Linked DNA regions of Notamacropus eugenii. The protein of the gene in region 1 interacts with the protein of each later gene in a pairwise test. Links are inferred from orthologs where the notes say so. Each region holds a gene or a part of one and is shown in the gene's direction. Other genes may lie near its edges.

Region 1 (10,859 bases):
GAGACATCACAGAGAAATTTGTTTCCATAAGTTCAGAATAGCAAATGGGAGACATAAGGAAGGAGTTATGTTTCACAGAGAAGATAACAGACAACGCAAGGATCCAACTGGTTTTGAACTTGTTTTGAGGTTAGAAGTCAACTAAGTAGAATAAAAGTGAAGTCTAGCTTGGAATTCTCATAAGTAAGAAGCTTACAAATATTGACTTCTCCTCCTCTAGGAAAGCTAAAGGTTCATTTTAATGGTCAGACAATACTTGTAGCAGAAGTGGGAACACGGTAGTGGAAATTGTACACCCTGTATTACCCAGTCATTGGGAAAATAGGGGAGGGTCTCTGTAGTCAAGTAAAGGTTTTTTAAGGTTTACTTTTGTTTCTGAAGGGTGTTATCTTCACTCTTCAGAGTGTGAATGAATTATTTCTCATGTTCCTGCCTTAGAAGCAGGCTGGGGCCAGAAGCCTTCCATTATCAGTGAGCCCAAATCTCAGCTACCTTTAACCTAGCCTAGCCCTCCTTTGTCTTATCTCCAGGGAACCTTCAGCTACTTCCCATCTTTCATGCTATCAAAATGCTTTTTTCTTGGTTCCTGCTCTCTTGACCTCTACTCACCCAAATTACTGGTCACTCCCTTCAAGATCCTCCTTAAACGCCTCCTCTACTCACCCCAGACTACTTGACCATGCCTAGATCCCTCCCATAGTCTTTCTGGATATAAGATCCAACTTGCCTCCATGAAAGTGCGCAGATTCCATCTGGCCCTTATCACCAGGGCTCAGGTTCTAAATGGTTCACTTGTAAGTCACAAATGCACAGATTTCTAATGAGTCTACCCCAAATGGCAGACCTATAATAAACTTCAACTTCTGCTGGAAGAACGCTTGGCTCAATTTTTCCGGGAAGAATAGGGGCTTGCTATATCAGGTTCCTCACACCCCTAAACCTCAACATAATGACTTGCCCAAGGTCACATAGCAAGGAACAGTCCAGTGCAGGATTTGAACCTGGCTATTGTTGCTTCTACTGTGAAAACGTCCTAACAGCATTTACATCCTGCTTATAGACATATATAAAAATATTTATAACTGCTCTTTTTGTGGTTGCCAAGAATTGGAAATTGAGGAGATGCCATCAATTGGGGAATGGCTGAACAAGTTGTGGTATATAAATATAATGGAATACTATTGTTTCATAAGAAATAGTGAGTAGGCAGACTTCAGAAAAACCTAGACAGTCTTGCATGAACTGATGCTGAGTGAAGTGAACAGAACCAGAAGAAAACTGTACACAGTAACAGCAACATTGTGCGATGACCAACTATGTTAGACTTAGCCCTTCTCAGCAATGCAAGGATCTAAGACAATTCCAAGAGTTATGATGGAAAATTCTATCCACATCCAAAGAAAGAATTACGGATTCTGAATGCATATCAAAGCATACTAATTTTCCTTTTGTTGTTGTTGCTTCTTTGTTTTTTTTCTCATGGTTTTCCCCCTTTGTTCTGATTCTTCTTCCACAAAGTGACTAATATGGAAATACATTTAGTATGATCATACAACTATAACTTATATCAGATTGCATGACATCTTGGGGACAAAGGAGGGGAGGAAGGGGGAAAAATCTAGAACTCAAAATCTTATAAAAGCAAATGTTGAAAACTAGAAATTAATTAATCTAAAAAACAAAACAAAACAAAACTTTCATCATAACCCCAGTCATTTAGTCCTAGCTACAGCTCAGCCTAGCTGTTTGATTGAACTGACACTGGAAGTCCTTTTGCGTTATCCAAAGGTGAAGGATCACAAACAACCAGAAGACTCTGAATGTGCAATAACTTTGGATCAGAACAGGTGTCTGAGACCCTGCTATTCTCTGGCTAGGGGAAGTTTTGTGTTTGAGTACTCCATGGTTATGAAGGGCTAAAGAATTGGTTTTCTCAAATACATTAATAAATTAATTAAGTACTGTCTCTGGATGTAACAATTTTTTCAGGATTAAGGTCTTCAAAGTTAATCCTTAAAAGAAACCAGGGTTGGAGCTACCTCAGGTGCTTAACCAAGTAACTTGGTAATGATAATGTTTCTCATCTACCTGAGCAATAAGTAGCAAGAGATGGATAAGAAGCTGTTGTTTTCTCAGGTGGTGAAGAGGCATAGAACAGAATAAATAAAAACCTCCATAAGTGAAAGTAGTGAGGTAGTCAGATAGAGGTTGAAGAGGACTTCAAACCCATTTCCCTGAGAGGGACCTAGTTGGTGAACTCACCTTTACCTATGCAAGGACAGTTCCAATCCTGGGCTCTGATTCCTGGCTTCTAGCCAAGCAAAGACAACATTCTGCAGCCATCTCTTTTGAAAAGTGAAGTAATGAGAGGACTCCATCTTTACTCAAACACTTTCAAGAGTGTAAGTAAGGAGGATTTTGCTATCCTTCTTAGATTTAAGATCCATGGTCATTGCAACATCTAGTTTCCAGGTGTTAGATAATAACTCCCAGAATAGCTCCAAGGATTCTAGATAGTAGTTCCTAGAATCATAACGATAGGCAGTCCTACTGAGGCTATGCCATGAAATATGGGGTGACATAATTGGTATTTACTACACTTGTGCTGAATGATGATACTGCTAAAGCTAACCTGTGAGGCCACTGTTGGCAATATGTCTTCTTTGTATGTTACCCTATAAAGCAAGTGGGCACTGGTCAGTGAGTGGGGAATCTGTGTGTGTCTTGACCAATCCTCATCAAGGCTTGTGAGGATTTAGGGGAGTGCACAAGCTGTGCCTGTCTCGATTGACCCCATTGAGATGTAAGGGTAGTTGATTCCCCCGCTTATTGCCCGCCCCTGTAAGAAGGGTGATTACAGAATGCTGTAGGAGCTTGTGCTCCCATTATCTGCAACCCTTCTGAGAAGATTAGACAAGAATAAAGCTGATTATTAACACCTCCAAAAGTGTCTGCCTGTCTGACCAGAGCAAGAGTGAACCTGTTAGAGGCTGGAGTTCCCAACTCTAGGGTCTCCCGTGTGTTATCTATGAAACAAAGAGAAAAGGGAATTATATTGAAATATAAAAATACTGTGATATTTTCAGAAGGGTAAGGAACAATTTTTTTAAAAGTTTAATTATTTTCTCTCGTAGCCTCCCTTGAAATAAAACAGCAAATACAATCTTGTTATCACTTTTCCTCCTTATCTATGATATCACAATCAGGGAGAATGTCATCCTGGAACAGGTAATGTAAAGAAAAAAATTAGAAGGCAGTATATTTGGCCAGTGAGAACTCATAGTCTGATTATTCAGAAACAGGAGGGACTATCAACAATGACTCACATTTATGTAGCTTTATGGTTTTCAAAGAACTTTCCTCATAAAGGCTTGCTTGATGACTTCCAGCTTTTCATTGTCTCTAAGAATATATTAGTACTGAAAGGTAAAATGTATCACTAAAGGGAAATTATAACCTGGATTCACTAACCTCTAAGGATCCTTTCAATGTTAAATCTGTTATCCTTTGTATTTTTAAAAATAAATACTGTATTGGAAACTTTAAGCAATAACAAAATTAATGATTCAAATGGATATCTTTGAAAAAATAGGGCCCTTACCTAAGGTGGCCCAATTATAGTCTTGTCTTAGAGGTAAATTGATGGACTAGATAATATTTCAAGGTCCTTTCCAGTTTTATGATCTTACAAATGCTTATGGGCTTCATTTTTCTACTATCCAACAATGTATAGGTTATATTCCTATAGTCTACAGAAGAAGAAAAGCATGCAGGCAGAAACACTGTCAGCAAAATGTCTGAAAATATAGCCTTTAGGAGACATAAGTGAAGAAACCTTACCCATCTCAATCTAGAAGGCAATAAAGCATGCACTGGCAAATGGCCATGAAGACACTGGGGATAATTTCACTTGTCTTCTCAGACACACTGTGTATGTGTTAGAAAATGGTTTCTAGGGACTAGAATCCTGGGCTTCATCCCTTCCTCATGTAATAGACTCACTATCAGAATTCCATAGCTGATGCAAGATCCAGTGAAGAAGTTTAGAGTCAGGTTAATTGCCTCTAATAGGAAGCAGCATATGGGACCTAAAATTCAGAGATTTGGGTTCAAATCTCACGTCAGCAATTTACTAGCTAAGAACTTTCCTTTCCTCATCTACAAAATATTACTAATGCAACAGCATAAAGGGCAACTAGAACATTCAGGCTCTTGGTTCAAGGCACTTTGTGAGTCATTATCCAATTAGTAATGTGATTACCAGTGAGAAAGCATGCCCCCTGCACTAGACAGAGTATGTAATCAAAACCATAGTTCATGAGACTGGTGTGTTTATTTTTCCTAGGGCAATCAGAAGACATTGATTCAAGACATAAGATACTTAATTAAAAAACATAAAATAAGTGATGCCCAACTGCCCACCCAATGGTAATCACATTACTAATTGGAGAAGAGGCACATGCAGGAAAAATGTGTGAACCAGGAATAAAGAACATGTGTAGACAAGGAATATATGTTTTGGACCCCGGAAGTGTATTTTTGGCCACACTCTGACTTGAGTCTCTACTTGTGATGATCAGGAACAGTGTGAGGGAGATGACCGGTCCAGGAGAAGTAAGGGATCAGAGTTCTGGAGATTGTCAGCTATCATGAAGCCTGGGAGAGTAGTGACGAAAGGCTGAGACACCAACTTCTCTCTCCCAGTGCTGCCATTGTCTTCCTGTTATTCCCCTCCCTTATTCTCACTTTACAAACTATGAATAAGGGTGTGGTGGGCCCTTATCAGTTGCCTGAGCGTAGAGAAGTAGTTGGCTGGAATTTTGGAAAATGGTTGGATATAGTGATCCACGGAGAAGCAATCAGTTAATTTCTTTTCATCTTTGCTATAACAAATAAACTATGGGGCCATAGAGTGTTACTGCTAGTATCTTATGAATATCAGGGTGTGTAAGTAAGTCAGTCATTTGACTCTTAGGGAAAAGTCCAGATCTGAGAAGAGTGAAGCCATTGATTTAAATAATTTATCTGACATTTCTGGAAAACATATTCATACCATGCCCCTAGCTTCAGTGAAAACCTAGCAAACTCCTCTGTGAGTAAAATTAAGTCAACAAGCATTTATTAAGTGCCCACTATGTGCCAGGTACTGTGCTAAGTGCTGGGGATACAAAGAAAGGACAAAAACCCAAACCTAAACAGTACTTTCTCTCAAGGAGTTAAACGTCCCATGGGAAGGCAAACAACTATTACTAAGCCACTGTGCTAGTTCCAAAAGATACCTACAGGCACCAAGAATGAAACGATACCTGCATTTAAAGATCTCAGCATTCTAAAGGGGGAGACAAGTATATGTAATACACACACAAACACAATACTTTACCTTTATGCATGTAGTATGCACGCACACACACACAGAGCATAGAGTGCATAACTACAAACACATCGTAGTTCAACACAAGTTAGCTTGGCAGGAGGCACTGGGAGTGGGTGGACCAGCAGGGTGGTACCTGAGCTGTAGCTGGAAAGGAAGAGGGGGATTCTCCGAAGAAGCCAGCTAAGGGAATGCCCTCCAGATACGGGAAATGGCCAAGGCTCAGAGATTAGATAGATACCTAAGCCATCTTCGTGCTTATTACTGAGCAGAATGAATTTATTATATTGGAGCTTATTGAAAAGCTGGAAGGGAACTCAGTTCTCATCCAGGGGTTCTTACAGTGCACAAAATAAAACACAAGGCCAATTATACTGACATGCAGTTACAAAATTAATAACTGTTTATGGACCCCAAGATTAAGGATCCCCGATATGGGCGAAGCCTGAATCTCAGGCTGTGCAGGTGCCTTTTAGAAAGGGGTGAAATCCACTTCTTAGTCAAGCGCATGCTCAGTGGGTCTACATGTCAGAATTCAGGGAAATAAAAAAAAAAAAAAATCACTGTCGCACTTATGCGCATGCGTAATTTCACCATCCACGCCTTTTCTCCCCCCTAAATGCCATTAAAAAACAAAACAAAAACTTCACAAGCTTTCAGACACGGCCATCAGAGCTACAACCTGAAACGCATGCGCTTTAAGGTAGAAGAGGAGAGGCACTTGTCAAGGCGGAAGGAGAGGTTTCCTTTCTTTTTCCCTTCGCCTCTCCGCCTCCTGGCCACGCCCCCTGCCCTGCCCTCCCCCGAGCCTGCCACGTACGGGGCTCGAGCTCACGCTAGGCTCAGTGGGTCCAAGCGATTGGTTGAGCCTGAGGGCGATTTACGGCGGCGGCCGAACGTGACGGACGGTAGCCTCCTCCCTGTCGCTGTGGTGGCTTCGGCACCGGCGCTACCTTCAGAGACAGGACCGGAGCAGCAGGCGAGGCCGAAGGCACGGCGCCGGCTGCGGCCCCGACGAGGAAGGTATTTTTGGTCGCTCGAAACTGGGGTGCGCCTGCTGGCTGCCTCTCGTCTGTCTCAGGCCCACTGTGCGGGCATGCGCGCCGAGGCCTTGGTGGGAACTGGCTCTGGGCTGGCGGATGGGGGCGGGGGTGGGGCGCGAGGAGACTGGAGGGGGACGTGAGGCGAGGCGAGGGGAGGGAGGGGCACCCGGAACCGGCTCTGGGCTAGGGAGGGGCTCGAGGCGAAGGAGGGGGCTGGGACCCGGCTAGGAGCGGGCGTGGTGGTGGGGGCGGGACCCGCCAGGGGAGGGATAACGTCACGAGCTGGCTGCGGGGAATGGGGATGCGCGAGGGCTCACGCGGGGGGCGCGCGCCGCCGGAGCTGGGATAGAGATGAGCGGAGGAGGGAATGGGGCTGGGATCGGTCGTCTGTGACGTGGGAGCTACTTGTGGAGAGAAGGCATGGGGGGCGGGATGGCCCCCTTCCGTTTTGACTTTTGCTCCCCTCCCAACCCCCCGGCTGTTTCACCAAAGCGTAGTAGGCGCGTGAGGGGCGCTAAATTAATGGAACGGAATGACTGGGGAAGTGGGGGTGGGGGGGACAGCTCTTGCCTCCGGAGGAGCTTGGACAGCGGAGCCAGATCCTGCTGAAGACTGTCACCGTGGAGGAGGGCCTCGACCTTTGTGCAGCCAGCTCACCAACGCCTTTATTGGTGTTTAGGCATATGTTGCTTCTGTGAGCAGGAGTTCTTAAACCTAGGGTACGTGGACCCGTCTTCCCCCCTTCTTCCCCTAACCTCCCCCCCACCCCGTACTTGGAAAGACTTCAGAGCGTAAACGAGTGGAAGAGAAGAAAAAAAATCACCCGAATTTCTGTGTAATTGATTTCCTTTGCAGTCATACGCATTGTATGTTAGGCAGTTCAAAACATTTTTAGAAGATTTGTGGTTTTCACCAGAGTACCAAAAAGGTCCGTTGAGCTAGAAAAAGTTGTCAACCGTGAACAGCTGTACTTTGATCGTTTGAAACCGGGGTGTATCCATTGTCCTTGCAACTGGATAGGTATGCCTTAAAACATAAGTCTCATCTCACTTCCTTGCTCTAAAGCTTTCTGTGGCTCCTTGTTTCCTCTGGGAGGAAAGACAACATCCTTTGGTGGGATATTTAAAGCAAGTGATGACTTGTCTTCAGCCTTTATTAACAGACTAATTTCACAACACTTGCCTTCAGGCACTCTACCTATTTTCACTATTTCCTCTCCCACTGCCCTGACTATTTTTAAAGGTTTGTCCTCTGTCTTTAGGACAGGTAAGTGGTTAGTGGGTAGAATGCTGGGCCTGGAGTCAGGAAGACTCATCTTCCTGAGTTCATATTTGACCTGGGACACTTTACTAGCTGTGTTACCCTGGGCAAATCACTTAACCATGTTTGCCTCAGTTTCCTCATCTGTAAAATGAACATGGCAAACTGCTCCAGTCAGTATATTTGTCTAGAAAACCCCAAATGGAGTCAAAAAGAGGTCAGACATGACTGAACAACCTCCATCCCAGGAATGTTCTATCTTCTCACATTTGCCACTTGGAAGTTCCTAGCTTCTTTCAAGGCATGCCTGGAGTGACACATTTTACACTAGATATTTATTCCTCCACATATTATTTTCTTCATTACTTCATATATATATGTATATATATATATATGGATGTGTATATATTTTATTTGCATGTTTTATCCAAACTCCTTTGGAGCTGTTCTTCTTGTCTTTGAACTTTCTACAGTTCATCATAATAGGCATTATATTAAGTTAAATAATTATTAAATATTAATTATTAAATAATACCTATTAAGGTATTTAATAAATTGAAGAACCAATTCTTGCATTGGATAGGAAGTTATCTCAAAGGTCCTGAAGAGTATTAAAGCTAGGAAGAATAGAAAAGGTCATCTCTAGTCCAACTCCCTTATTTGAAAAAACTGAAACCCAGACAAGTTGTGACTTTAATAAAACAATAGCTGGTGAATGGCAGAGATTTGAACCCAAGTCTTCTGATTCTAAGTGTAGTTAAATTAAATTAAATACTTATTAAGTGCTTGATGTTTGATAGAATAAGAGTGTAGATAAAACACAAGGGGGGCAACTGTGGTGATGAGTGAAGTGACAGGGATAGACTTCAGACCTTTTTCCTCATAACTCCAAATCTACTTCCCACTGTACCATCTTGTTTCTTCACTGTGTATACCAGCTCTTTCTTCTTCCAGCATCATTGAAAGTTAGCTTGGTTCTGTACCTCAGAGAAAGGGTGACCTTGATGGGTAGGACTTGAAATTCAGTATTCTGATGAATATTGAATCCTGTTTCAAATATATGAGATCAGGCTTTTGTGTGACTGTGAACATGTCCCTTTTGCCTTCTGTGCAAAATAATAATAAATCTTTGTGAAATTGAACTAGGAGAATTCCTCACAAAGGCTTAGTAAGTTTTGCTTTCTCAGGTATTTTGTGGACTTTGAAGGGAGAATGATGTTGAAATGGGCTATTTGGGTTCGGCAGCAATCCTAGCTGCTCATTAGCTCAATAATAATACTACCAATTTCTTGCTGATGAGTCATGAATAGATAAGAGGACTAAACTTTATTCACCTTGTAACATTAGAAACATAAGAGTGGTTTATTTTCTTTTTGGTTGGTAAATTACTTTTTTTATATGCTTGCTGTGTGCCAGGGATTGTGATAAGCCTGGAGATACAGAGTAAGACACAAGACAGTCCTTGCTGTCAAGGAGCTCAGAATCTGACAGTTCCCTGACAACAAAGACAGCTATATACAAACAAGCTACATACAGGATAAATTGGAAATAATTAATAGAAGGAGGCATTAGAATTAAGGGGATTGGGAAAGATGGGATTTTAGCTGGGATATGAAGGAAACCATGCAAGATGAGGAAGGGGAGCAGCATCAAGGAGGGCGTTGTCACCAGACTGTAGATTGTGTGTGTATGGTGGGGGGACCAATTGTAAGGTATGAGAAGATTGGAAAGAATGTATGGAGGAGAAGGCAGATTATGAAGGACTTTGAGTGCCAAACAGAAGATTTTATCTTTGATCCTGGAGGTAATAGAGGACCATAGGAGGTAAATGAGTAGGAAGGTAGTATGGTCAGGCCTGTACTTTAGGAAGATTACTTTGACAGTTTAGTGGAGGATGTCTAGGGGAGAGATTTGTGGCAGAGAGTCCAGCTGCCTCTCTATTGCGATAGTCCAGTTTGAGGTAGTGAGAGCCTTCACTGGAGTGGTGGTCAGAGGAGAGAAGGGAGCATATGTGAGAGGTGTTATGAAGATAAAATTGGTAGCCTGGGCAACAGATTAGATATAGAGGTTGAGAGAAAGTGGGAAGTTGAGAATGACATATAGGTTGCCCTAGATTGCAAGCCTGATTGCCTGGAAGGATGGTGGTACTCTCAATGGTAATAAGGAAGTTAAGGGGAAGGGAAGGATAACGAAGTCAGTTTTAGACATTTTGAGTTTAAGATGTCTGTGGGACATCCACTTCAAGATATATGATAGGCAGTTATAGATTCAAGACTGGAAGTCTCCAGAGATTATGGTTGAGTAAGTAGCTTTGGGAATCATCAGCATAGAGATGCTAACTGAATCCGTGGGAGCTGACAGTTACCAATGAAATAGTATAGTGTGTCCTATGGGTCACCTATGGCTAACTGGCATAATCCAGATGAAGATATTGCAAAGGACCCCGAGAAGTTGTCATGTAGGAAAACCAGAAGATCTAGATAGAGTATCAGGGAAAGGTGATTTAGTAACTTTGGATTGGATGAAAGCCAGATAAAAGAGAGTTAAGAGAGTGAGAGGAAAACAAGTGGAGGCACTTAACTGTGCCTTGAGATGGCTTTCTCGAGGAGTTTAGCCACGAGACAGAGGAGGGAGATGGAACTAGCTGGGATGGACGTATCAAGTTTCGCCTTTTTAAGTATGGGGTAAACATGGACATATTTGTAGGCAGTAGTGAAACAACCAGTTGACGGGGAGAGATTGAAAAAGAGTGATGGGTGGGACGAGTGCCAGAGGCTGCAATCTTGTAGAGAAGATGTGTTGAATAGGGTCATTTTTTGTGCCTGGAGAAGGGTTTGACAGTGATGAACATGGGGATGGTGGCAGCAGGCATCTCAGAGATATAAGTTGAGGAGGGAAGAAGAAAAAATTCTCAGGGAATGGCTTCAACTTTTTCTATGACATATGAGGCAAATCTCAGTTGAGAGTGTAGGGGAAGGGGAAGCTATGGTAGGTTTGAGGTGGGATGAAACATTAAGGAAAAGCTGAGTGGGATAGTAGGCTAATTAGGGAATGTAAAAGGATTGCCTTGATGCAGTGAGGGCCTTTTTGGAATAATGTGATTAAGATTAAAAGTATGGCTCTCTCTGTTACTGAATGATGGAGGAGGAAGAAGAGCCTGGAAATGATAATAGGAAGCTGGTATT
Region 2 (11,107 bases), on another chromosome or scaffold:
TAAAATTCTCTTCACTGTAATAAAGTCCTAAATAACTGGAGAGATATCAATGGCTCATGGTGAAGCCATGCTAATGGAATAAAATGACAATACTGCCTAAATGTATTTACCTATTCAGTATGAATCAATCAATCTAACAAAAGATTACTTTACAGAGCTGCAAAAATAATAACAAAACTAATTACAATAATTAGATGATATTATCAAATGATAATAATTAGATGATAAAACAAATTAATTAATTAAAATAAAACTATACAAATCATATAATTATATAAATACATATAATATATAAAATAGTACCAAAACTCAAGAATCTCAAGGGAAATAGTAAATAAATGTATATGCATGTATATACACATATTTATACACATATTTAGAGGGAGAGCTTTTATTTTCAGGGGTGGGAGAGACTTAGAGGGTGCAGTAGTGATAGAGATACCAAAAAAAAAAAAAAGATGATAAATGAAAGAGAATTAGAGAACTATTTCAAAAATACATAGGGGAAAAAAAGCAGAGACAAGTTCAGAACAAGTCATGGATAAGGAAGACAGTATTGACACTGCATATTAAATTTAACATATATGTAATGGAGATTTAAAGTCAATTGCTGTTCATATTATTCATGTTGGGTCATCACTTTTCTCTTAATCTGCTGCTGGTCCATTTTCCTAAGTTAGTCTTATTCCAGGTTTTAAGGTAATCAAGGAACATATTAGAATATTTTCACCTCAGTTACCAAAATTGCTCAGTTCTCTTGATACCAGTCTATTTCTGCACTTTCTCCTTATTGCTGCTCTGGTATGTAGAAAGGGGTAGAAAAGAGGAGGAAGCTATTTACCCTAGCTACAATATCTGCAGACCTTTTAATGTTCATAAGTTTGATGCCAAAGGAAGGAAACATCCAAGGGAGACAGTCAGCCAGAGGTCCCAGTACAAGCCCTTGAGTTGAGTCCTATACTCCATATGGAAAGTAGTGGTTCCTGCCAACATAAGGTCAGGTTAAGGACTATCATCCCCACCTCAATGAGATCACATCTTGTCACCTACAGGGTGGGTAAGGGAATTTGAAGATCTACGCTGCCCCTTAATAGGCCCACGTGACCTGCTTTGAACTCCAGCCAGCCCACAGCTTGACTCACATGGAGCTGATGGTGGGAGGAGCTTGCCAAATGGGTGGAGCAGGAAGGGTGAAGCAGGAAGAGAGAGTGAGGTAGAGCTGAGAGAGAGAGCAGGCAGAGCAGAGTAGCTAGGGTGAGTGAGAGGAGTGATTTTGCCTAAGGGAGTTTGTTTTTGGGGAACCTAAGGGAGTTTGTTTTGGGGGAGGCCTGCTGGAGGGAAGGCTTGGAGATGACTGTACTCCCTGCATTGATAATGTGTATAGATTTTTGTTACTATGATGGATTTTGCTTTCTGGCATCTGAATAAATGTCTTAGTTTTGTCTTTGAGGAAGAGAATTCAAATTTTGCGAATGTGCCCTGGAAGTATGCATGCATATCCATAGTAGCTGTTGTGGGTATCACATTGATGCTACAGGGTAGTATACAAGATCCAACCAATACTCTAATCCAATGAACATTTATTAAGTACCTACTATGTACCAAACACTATGCTAAGCACTGGAGATACAATTAATAAAAAGAAAGATAGTCCCTGACCTCAGGAGTCAATAATCAGAAGGGGGAAACAACATACAAAAGGAGTTACGATTGTGGTGGGGAGGGATTTGGGAAGGGAAATAGAACACCACAGGGTACTCAAGACAGCCTCTTGTTTTGTGGAGTTGAAACCAGGCAGGGTAGCTCAAGTAAAGTGAAGTGATCTGAGAGTCCATTTTCCGACCTCTATAAAGGAAGGCATTGGGAAGAGTTTGATACTCTGTCCTCAAACCTTCCAAACAGAGGGGAAAGGATGCTGAGGGAGGTGTTGTCAAGAAGTCTTGAGTTAGCAGCATGGTGGTGAGTTTAGAAGCGATAAGATTATCCTGAGAGGGACATCTTGTTCCATGGAGTTGAAGCAAGGAAGAGCAACGGATGTAAAATGGAGTGAAGGGTCAGATCTCTCCTCTTCTCCTAGATGCTACCCAGTGTAATGTTTGTCCAGCTAAGCAGCCAAAATGATATATAGCTAGAAGCTGGCTGCTCAAATTCCCACAGGATCTGTGGAAATTTGGGCTTTAAATACTGGGGAGCGAAGAGGGGAAAGGCATGTAATGCAATAGAATCATAGATTTAGAGCTGGAAGGGACTTCAGTGGCCATGTAGTCCATTCCTCTCATTTTACATGTAACTTAGCTTCCACTCAAGTCTGGGGTGGTTTTGCATGTTTCAGTGGGAGACATGACTTCTGACTGACAGAATGTTGAGCAAAAACCTGTGAATATATTTGGTTCTAGACATGCCTCAGAGACTCATGTGGAGAAAAGACCTCCTGAGAGATTATGAAAAATGAAAGCCTTTGAATAGCAGGCTGTAGCCCTCCAAGTTTTACACATGAGATGCCAGTCCCATCATGTTTCTCTATCTCTAGGGCTTACAACTCAAGTTAACAAGTACTAAATAATCACCAACTATGTGCCAAGGCCCTGTGCTAAGCATTTGGTGACTTCTGAGATATGGCATCCCCAGACTGTGATCGTTCTCTTCTGGTAGTTAGTACCTCTTACTCCCAACTGGAAAACTCCTTTAACAGATAGCTCTCTCTTGGCATAAATTTGTATTTATTAGGGCTCCAGGCTGGCTTGTTTCAGACTCCTGGCAGCAGGGGTCTGCACCCAGGCACTTGGGCTTCAGGGGGCAGGGTCATGCAGAACCCTGAGAAAGGAGTGGAAGGTCTGCTGAACCACATAAGTAAGAACAGTTTGTACTCGTTATTTACTGGTATAGTTTAATCTATAAAAATTTTTTTTGCTGTTTTACTTGGATAAATGGGTTGCTGATTATTTACTATTTATGTTGGTCTTTTGTGTAACTAGGATTTGATGGATGTAGGCTAAGCTGGTGAGTGTAGGATAAGGCTTACCCTCCCCAATAATAATAATAATAATGATAGTTATAATTATTTGGTGCTTTAAGATTTGCAAAGAGCTTCACAAACATCTCATTTTGTCTCACAATAACCTTAGAAGGTTTTATTATCTCCATTTTACCAATGAGGAAACTGAGACAGAGAAATTAAGTAACTTGTCCAGGCTCAGCCAAAAAATAACTGAGACCAAATTTGAACTCAGATCTTTCAGACTTTAGATTTAGTGCTCTGTCCAGTGTGGTAATGAAATTTGTGCTGAGTCAGTCTGAGTGACCCCATTTGTTCTAGTCTGGCTTGTTTTCCCAGTATGTGTCAATCAGTCTTTTGGGAGAGGTAAACCAGTTTCTGGGAGAGAGGAGAGATGTACTTTGATCCCATCTCCTTGTCCTTTGTATTGGGCTAAGTCATCAGGAAGCCACATGTGCTTTCATCTCACCTTCTTTTGGAAACTTGTACCTATCAGGATTGTCTTGCTCTTATTTCAAAAAGGTGTCTATAAAAGCAACAGGGAGGTTTGAAATTGGCACCTGGGCTGCACAAGGTGTTTGCCTCCTGTGCTATAATAAAATTCTTTTTTTTTCTGTTTTTCATTTTCCTGAACTTGTTTGATTCATTAGGGATTTCCTTTCAACAATGGCACTTATTTGGTATTTCATGAGTAGCAGATGGATAAAATTCTAGTCAAATACCCATCTTGGAGACTGAAGGAGAGATTGCCTGCTCTCTGGGTTTATAGATCCTACATGCCTTTCCTCCTTTCCCTTACCTAAACGCAGTTGGTACAGGTACAGCCTTTCTACTCTGACTACAGAGCAAGACCTCAGAACATATCTATCCATGCCATTTGCTGAAAGGTTGTTTGTATTTTAAAATTTTTAAAAATAATTAATTTACCTAGTTTTAGTTTTCAATGTTCACTTCCATAAGATTTTGAGTTTTAAATTTTCTCCCCATCTCCCTCCTCTCTCCTCTCCAAAAAGGTGTGCAATTGGATACAGGCTCTAGTTATACATTCACTTCAAACATTTTCACATTAGTCACACTGTAAAGAAGAATCAAAACAGCAAACAAAAAGGAGCAAATAGCATGCTTCCATCAGCGCTGTTCTTTCTCTGCATGTAGACAGCATGAACGTGAGCCTTTTGGAGTTGTCCTAGGTCCTTGCATGGCTGAGAAGAGCTGGGTCATCACCATGTTCTCCTGGTTCTGCTCATTTCACTCAACATCAGTTCCCATGAGGCTTTCCGGGTTTTTTCTAAAGTCCGCCTGCTCATCATTTCTTAGAGCCCAATAATATTCCATTACATTCATATACCACAACTTGTTCAGCCACTCCCGGATGGATGGGCATCTCCTCAACGTCCAGTTCTTTACCACCACAAAAAGAGCAGCTATAAATATCTTTATACACGGGGGTGTTTTTATGATCTCTTTGGGGTACAGTGAAAGGTTGTTTTAAGATAACCTCCACGAACATATCTTCCATGTAGGCGTAATTTATCCTCATATGGGGAGGAAGCTGAAGCTCAGGGAGGTGAAGGTAGGAGAATCCCAAGGGCTGCTGCTTTTTCTGTGGACCCCCAAGGTGCCTCTTCAAGGAGGAAGAGGGAAGAGTCCTGGAGGTAGATGCAGAGAATATTGTCAGCATACCTGAAGCGCTTTACAAAGCACTTTACTCATGCTACCTCTTTGGAGGTGTTACCATTATTTCTCATTTTATAGATACACAGGCTAGCTAGTGTCTGAGGCAGGGTTTCAACCCAGTCCTTCCACCACCCCCCACCCTCCCCAGCTGGTTCTGAATGCAGTGCTTCTGGGATCAATAAACTGACTTGGCAATGAAGTATAGGTAGAGGGAACCTAATCAAGCTCTTTGTTCAGGCGTGACCTTTAAGAGGATTGGACGTTAGAGAACATCTAACCAATTCTCAAAAAAAAAAAAATTGAACCAAAACCCCACCACCCTTCACTTTCAATGTGCGTCCATGTTTCTCCCTGCAGCTTTCCTAAGTCTAGGGGATCAACAGAACAACGAAACCCAGCCCTGATGCGCAGCCTCGATTCTCAAGGTACAGCCGCTGATGGAAATTTTAACAATGGCTTTCGGAGAAGCCGGTAGCAGCCGGTTCCAGCACAGCCCAAACTGGATTTGCAGTCTGTCCCGATTAGGGCAGGAATTTCTAGCCCCACCCCTCCGAGGAGCCCGGTTGTCGTCAGAGCCCCGCCAGAAGCTGGGGGGGGGGGGGGGGGGGCAGGCGCAAGCGCACTCGCTGCCGCGAAGCTGAGGACAGGCAGTCGTAGCGGCATTGCCCGGACTCCTAGCTCCCAACCCCTCCCTCGGGCCTCCCCGGGGAAGGGATGTGAGGGTGGGGAGAATAGAGTCAGCGCAGCGGAGGGGGCGGGGCCAGCGCCGAAGCCAGCGCCGGCGCCGTACGGGCCGCTTCCTCTTCCGGCCGAGGGGGAGGAGTCGTGTGCTCCCGCTGCCTCCGCCGCCGCTGCCCGCTGCTGTTTCTGCTTCCTCTGCTTTCTCGCGCCCTCTTTTTTCACCCTTCGTCATCAGCGCCTCCTTCCAGCCGTCGTCACTTCTGGCCTCTCGGTCTGGGGTCCGATCCTGTCTGGTGAGGCCTCCTCGGAGCTAGGTGGGGGTGGGGCGCGGGGACGCGGTTCTGGCCGGGCTGAGGGGCTCGAAGGCGGGAGGCGCGCCGTGGCGGAGCTCCATCCGCCGCCTCTCTCTTCCTCTCGGCCGCGGGGGACTGCGCTTCGGTTGAACGTCGGGGTCGAGCTCCAGGGCCGAGGTGGGGCGGGGGAAGAGAATTAATTGTGGGGCAAGGCTGGGGGGGAGGGGCGGGGCCTGGGGGGAGGGGGAGAGGTGTCACGAGCGGTGACGTTCTAGCCTTCGTGACGTCAGAGGCACGTCTAGGCGGAAGGTCCTGAGCAGGTAATTTCCCCTCCCCCCTTCCCCTTTGTAGAATCCATCGGGTAAGGTCCCTGGCCGCGACCCAGGACCTGCGGCTCTCTTCTCACTTTGCCCTTCCCCTCAGGTACTTTTTGTTTATTCCTCTTGTGCTGGGTTTGGGGAGGGGGGAATTGGGGGACTGGTGAGTGGTGTCCTTGGCATATCGTGGCCACCGTGCCCTCCCTTTATCCATCCCCTTGCGGATGCTTAGATGCCCCCTACCCTTAGCTTTTGTAGCCAGTTAGAAATAGAAAAGGACTCATTCTGGGAAGCAGTTTTTTTAAAAAATTCATATTTTGAATTGTTCCTAGTTTCTTTAGATTCTCTTCGGATGTTTTAATAACCCATTACCATCAACAAGTAATGTAGTATTTTGATACCCTCGATTTATGAGACTGTATTAAGGGCTAGACGAAAAGAGCTTTCAGTTTCTTTATTATCCTCTTTTGAATTTGAAGGGTTAGCAATTACATGTTCGCAATCAGTTTAATCATTGATCTTTTCAACTTTGTGTACGCAGCACAGATAAAAATATAAGTGATATAAAGGATTTACCATAAGTCTTAGTGTAATCTGTTAAAGGGATTGAAAATGTACAAAGACTTTTGGTACACAATAAACATTAAGCAGTGTTCTTAAGAGAATGTCGGTTTCTGTGGCTGATGGGTGCCAACGATGGTATTTCATTTTTATTGTTATCCTTTTCTGCAATTTACCAATATATTCCTCCACTCTCCTCCCGCGGGCTATCCCTTACAACAAAGAATGAAAAAGAAGAATGAGCCAAACTCTTCAACACATCAGCCAAGTCCAATATGACATGCACAATTCCACACCCATAACTTTTCTCAGTTCCCCCTCACCCCTAAGAGAGACAGGTGCATTCTCATATTTACTCTTTGTGGCCAAACTTCATCATTACATCATTTAACAGAATTCAGATTCCTTTGCTGTTCCTTCCATTGTTTTACATATTATTTTCTTGGTTCTGCCTACTTCATTTTATATCAGGTCATGTGCCTCCCTATGCTTCTCTGTATTTATAATATTCTTTTCTTAAAGGCAGTAACATTCATGTACCACAATTTAGCCATTCCTTAGTTGATGAGCACCTTGTTTTCACTTCTTTGATAGTCTGAAAAGTAGTGCCATAAATATTTTGGTGTTCATGGGATCTCTTTTTATTATTTGTCACTATATCTTTGACCAATCTCTGGGTCAAAGGTCAAGGCCTGTTTCTTAAATTAACTTTTAAACTAGTGTTTCTTAAGCTGTATTTTCCACAGAACTCTGAGATTCTGCCAAGAATAATAGCTGTGAGGGAGATTAAAAGAAGTTATGACATTAAACAAAACTTTATGCTTCCAGCTTGTATCAGGGTACATGTAATTAGAAGATACTGAAAATTCAGTTTTCTAGTAGTGTTATATCTAACATTTGACTTAAATCCAGACTCAGATACTTAATAAGTACTTAATAAGATACTTAATAAGTGAGCCTTGGGAAGTCATGTAACTGTTGTTTGCCTCAGTTTCCATATCTGTGAAATGGGGTTACCATCTACCTTCCAGGGTTTTTATGAGGATAAAATAAAATAATATTTACAAAGCACTTTGTAAATCTTAAAGGTCTATGTAAATGCTTACTGCAATGACATTTACACTCTGTCAGTATCTTGACTACTAAAGTAATTGATGTCTTTGTATTCTGTAGATTTTAGCACCACTGGTCATTGTGAATAATTGGACAAAATTAGGAAGCCTACAGAGATAGGAAATCAAAAATGTTAATAACCAAAACTCAGAGGATGAAACAAGCGTCCATCAGCTTCATTGGCCCAAATACAGAACAATGCAAACATGACAACAGCTGCCTACTATTTGGAAATCTCAAAGGATAGTGTGTCTTATGTTACCACTTTTTACAAAATTGTTTAAAAATTAAAACATGAATTAAAAGAATGTTCATGTTTTTTAAATTAAAAATCTGATGAATGGAAATAGCCCTCTGGACTACTGAAAATTATTGTAAAAGCATCTTTCAGAGATAAACTACCCCATCCACTACTTTTCCTAGTTACAGAACACTGTTAACAACCAACCACATCCGTTTCACTAATAGTTTCTGTGCCCTGGTTAGAATGTGAATAAAAATGGACTGAAAGTAGGTTTTTTGCCCCTTTTTTTATGCTTCTTAGTATCATTACTAACATTTTTTAGGCTACTTTATAAATCCTATCATAAAGTTTCAGCTCAAATTTTATTTTAAAGTGAAAGGTTTTGATACTTCCAAAAGATCAGGACTAGTGCCTTAGAAAAGCACTTTGTATTGAAAAACCTCTATATGTTGAGGAAAGTAATTCTCTCCGGATTCCTTTCTTCTTGGAAAGGAATTCTAAACCATTTTTGTGTCATGAACTTTTTTGTCAGTCTGGTGAAACCTGTGAATCCCTTTTCAGAATATTGTCTTTAAATGCATAAAATACACGGGATTACAAAGAAAACCAACTTTATTGAAATAGAGTAATCAAAAATTTAAAAAGTTCATGGATTTCAGATTGCAAACCCTACTTTAGGACTTTCTTAGCTTGAGCTCTCATTTTAACATTATTAACTACTGTTGAAGGTGGATTTAGAACAGAGCTTAATATGTATTAAGTATGAAATTAAAATGTTAAGAAAGCACAATCAAAATGCTGAAATAATTCAGCTAAGTAAAACCAGTTCAGTAGACCTCTATTAAATGCCTACTAGGATCACAGATCTAGAGCTGGAAAATGGCTAAAAAGCCATCTAGTCCAACCCCTTCATTTTACAAATGAGGAAACTGAGGAGTCAGGGAGTTTAAGCAGCTTGCCTAAGGTCACACAGTAAGTAAGCATCAGAAGTGATATTTAGATCTAGGTTCTCTAGGTGCTAGGGACACTTGCCACCCCCACCCCCCCAATCGTTTTCTCCAAGGAGCTTATAGTCTACTAAAAGGACATAAATTTACAGAGGTATGGTAAATACAAAAGAATTTGAGATTGTCACCAACCAGGAGCATTTGGAAAGTCTTCATGCTTCCTCAGCTGAACTTAAAGGAAGTTAAGGTTTCTAAAAGGCTGAAGATTATTATACGGTCCCAGCATGGAGAATAGGCCCTTAATCACCTCATCTGGACTATTGCAATAGCTTTCTCCACTCTCTCTATCCTCAATTCAACTGCCACGGTGATTTTTCTAAAGTATTGGTCTAACCATGTCACATTCTTGCTCACTGAATTCCAGTGCCTTCCTGTTCCCTCTAGGATCAAATATAAACTCTTCTATTTGACATATTAAGCTCTGGCACCTTCCTACTTTTCCAGTCTAATCACAGTTGACTTCCACACATTCTACCATTCAGATACACTGGCTTTGAACATGACATTCCATCTTCCATCTCTTTTTTGCCTTTGCACTGGCTGTCTCATGGCTGGAATGCTCTGCCTCCTTACCTTTGTATATACCTGTATATTTACATGTTGTCTCTTCTGTTAGAATATAAGTTCCTAGAGGTCAGGGACCTAATTTTGCCTTTCTCTTTAACCCTAGCATTTAGTATGGTTCTTGGTATATGACATTTAACAAAATGCTTGTTTATTGTGGAGTCAGGGAGATAGGTGATGAGAATTTTTGAGGGTAGGGACTGTTACTTTTTTATTTGTATGCCCCGTGCCCAAAACAGTGTTTGATATATAGTAGACTTTCAGTACGATTATAGATGCTGTCTCCTGTTGATGGAGTGATTAGTGATGTAGTAGGGAATTTCTTTTCAAGCATGGGTTGGAATAGATGGCTTCTAAGATTGCTTTCAACTTCCAGAGTTTGTAAAAATGTGCCCCCAAAACAAAAGAAAACCAGAGCTATGGTGACACATTGGAATACCCATAAGTAAATAAATGTATTGGTATGTGGTTATAGTATTAAAAGAAATAGTGACTGAATTGTCATCTTTAATCAGTGCAATAGGAGTTTTTAATGTTACATGTAATATAGTATGTTTCAGAAGAAATTTGTATTGTCTTTCTAAATTAGTCTCATTGCAGTTTTTTTAGCTATTGAGGATTTAAAAAAAAAAAAAAACAAACCACCACTGCACAGTGACTGTCCTATCCTGCAAGCCCCCATAAAAAACGCTTTGTTAAAATACAAGTAAAAGAAATCCTCTGTAAATCCTCAAGTAAAACAAATCCTCTATTTTCCACATCTGAAAAATCTTTTTTGATTGAATGCCTCATGTCTCTGAGGTACATAACATCTTTCATCACTGGTCTTCTGGAATAGTGATTGGATCAAGGTTTTTTGTTTTTTAAGTAGTTTTTCTTTATAGTATTATTATTATTAAGATTATTCTACAGGTTCTAGGCATTCATTCTATATATCAGTTTATTCAACTGAACAAGTTTGTTAAAAAAAAAAAAAGCACATTTCTTTTCTCATTTCTTGTGACATACAAGGTTTTAGTCATATACCAGCATTTGTTGTTATTTAGTCATTTCAGTCATGTCTGACCCTTCATGACCCTTTGGGGGGGGGGGGGGGTGTTCTTAGTATAGATACTAGAGTGGTTTGCCATTTCCTTTTTCAGCTCAATTTACAGCTGAGGAAACTGAGCCAAACAGGAATGAGTGACTTGTCCAGGGTCACACAGCTAGTGCCTGAAGTTGGATTTGAATTCACATCTTCCTGACTCAAGGCCCAGCACTCTATCCACTGTACCACCTAGCTGCCCTTTATAATTTTGTAAATTTATAATTTGACAGTTGACTAGCATCCCCTGAACTTCCAATTTGTTGCCACCACAAAAAGATCTACTATTAAACATCTTTCTACCTAGTACTATAGCTGGGTCTCAAATAGTAAATACAGTTTATCTGTTTTGGGGGTGATACTTCCAAATTGCTTTCTAGATTGGGTAGATCAATTCACAGCTAATTCACTGCTCCTCCACCAACAGTGTATAGTCTTCATTTTGCACATAAGGTCAACCAGCTGCCAAGTAGAGGAAGTCATGTTTAACTGTCCCTCTCTTATTTCCATTGGTTACTTTGATCAGAATTATTAAATCTTTCAGATTTTTTTCCTTTCCATTACTGTGGTC

The links.
Region 2: the proteins of TFG (region 1) and MAPK1IP1L interact in binary tests that used the Homo sapiens proteins (3 or more experiments, as listed by UniProt). The two-hybrid records come from large-scale screens. The link is inferred for Notamacropus eugenii from reciprocal best matches to the Homo sapiens genes TFG and MAPK1IP1L.

The regions. Positions count from the first base shown.
Region 1 is NC_092876.1:369,383,056-369,393,914, reverse strand, and holds the start of TFG (protein TFG), read left to right. Parts: upstream 1-6,262; 5' UTR 6,263-6,394; intron 6,395-6,678; exon of another isoform or gene 6,679-7,133; intron 7,134-10,859. UniProt on the Homo sapiens protein: Plays a role in the normal dynamic function of the endoplasmic reticulum (ER) and its associated microtubules. Required for secretory cargo traffic from the endoplasmic reticulum to the Golgi apparatus.
Region 2 is NC_092872.1:333,130,358-333,141,464, reverse strand, and holds the start of MAPK1IP1L (MAPK-interacting and spindle-stabilizing protein-like), read left to right. Parts: upstream 1-5,506; 5' UTR 5,507-5,646; exon of another isoform or gene 5,647-5,823; intron 5,824-5,997; 5' UTR 5,998-6,069; intron 6,070-11,107.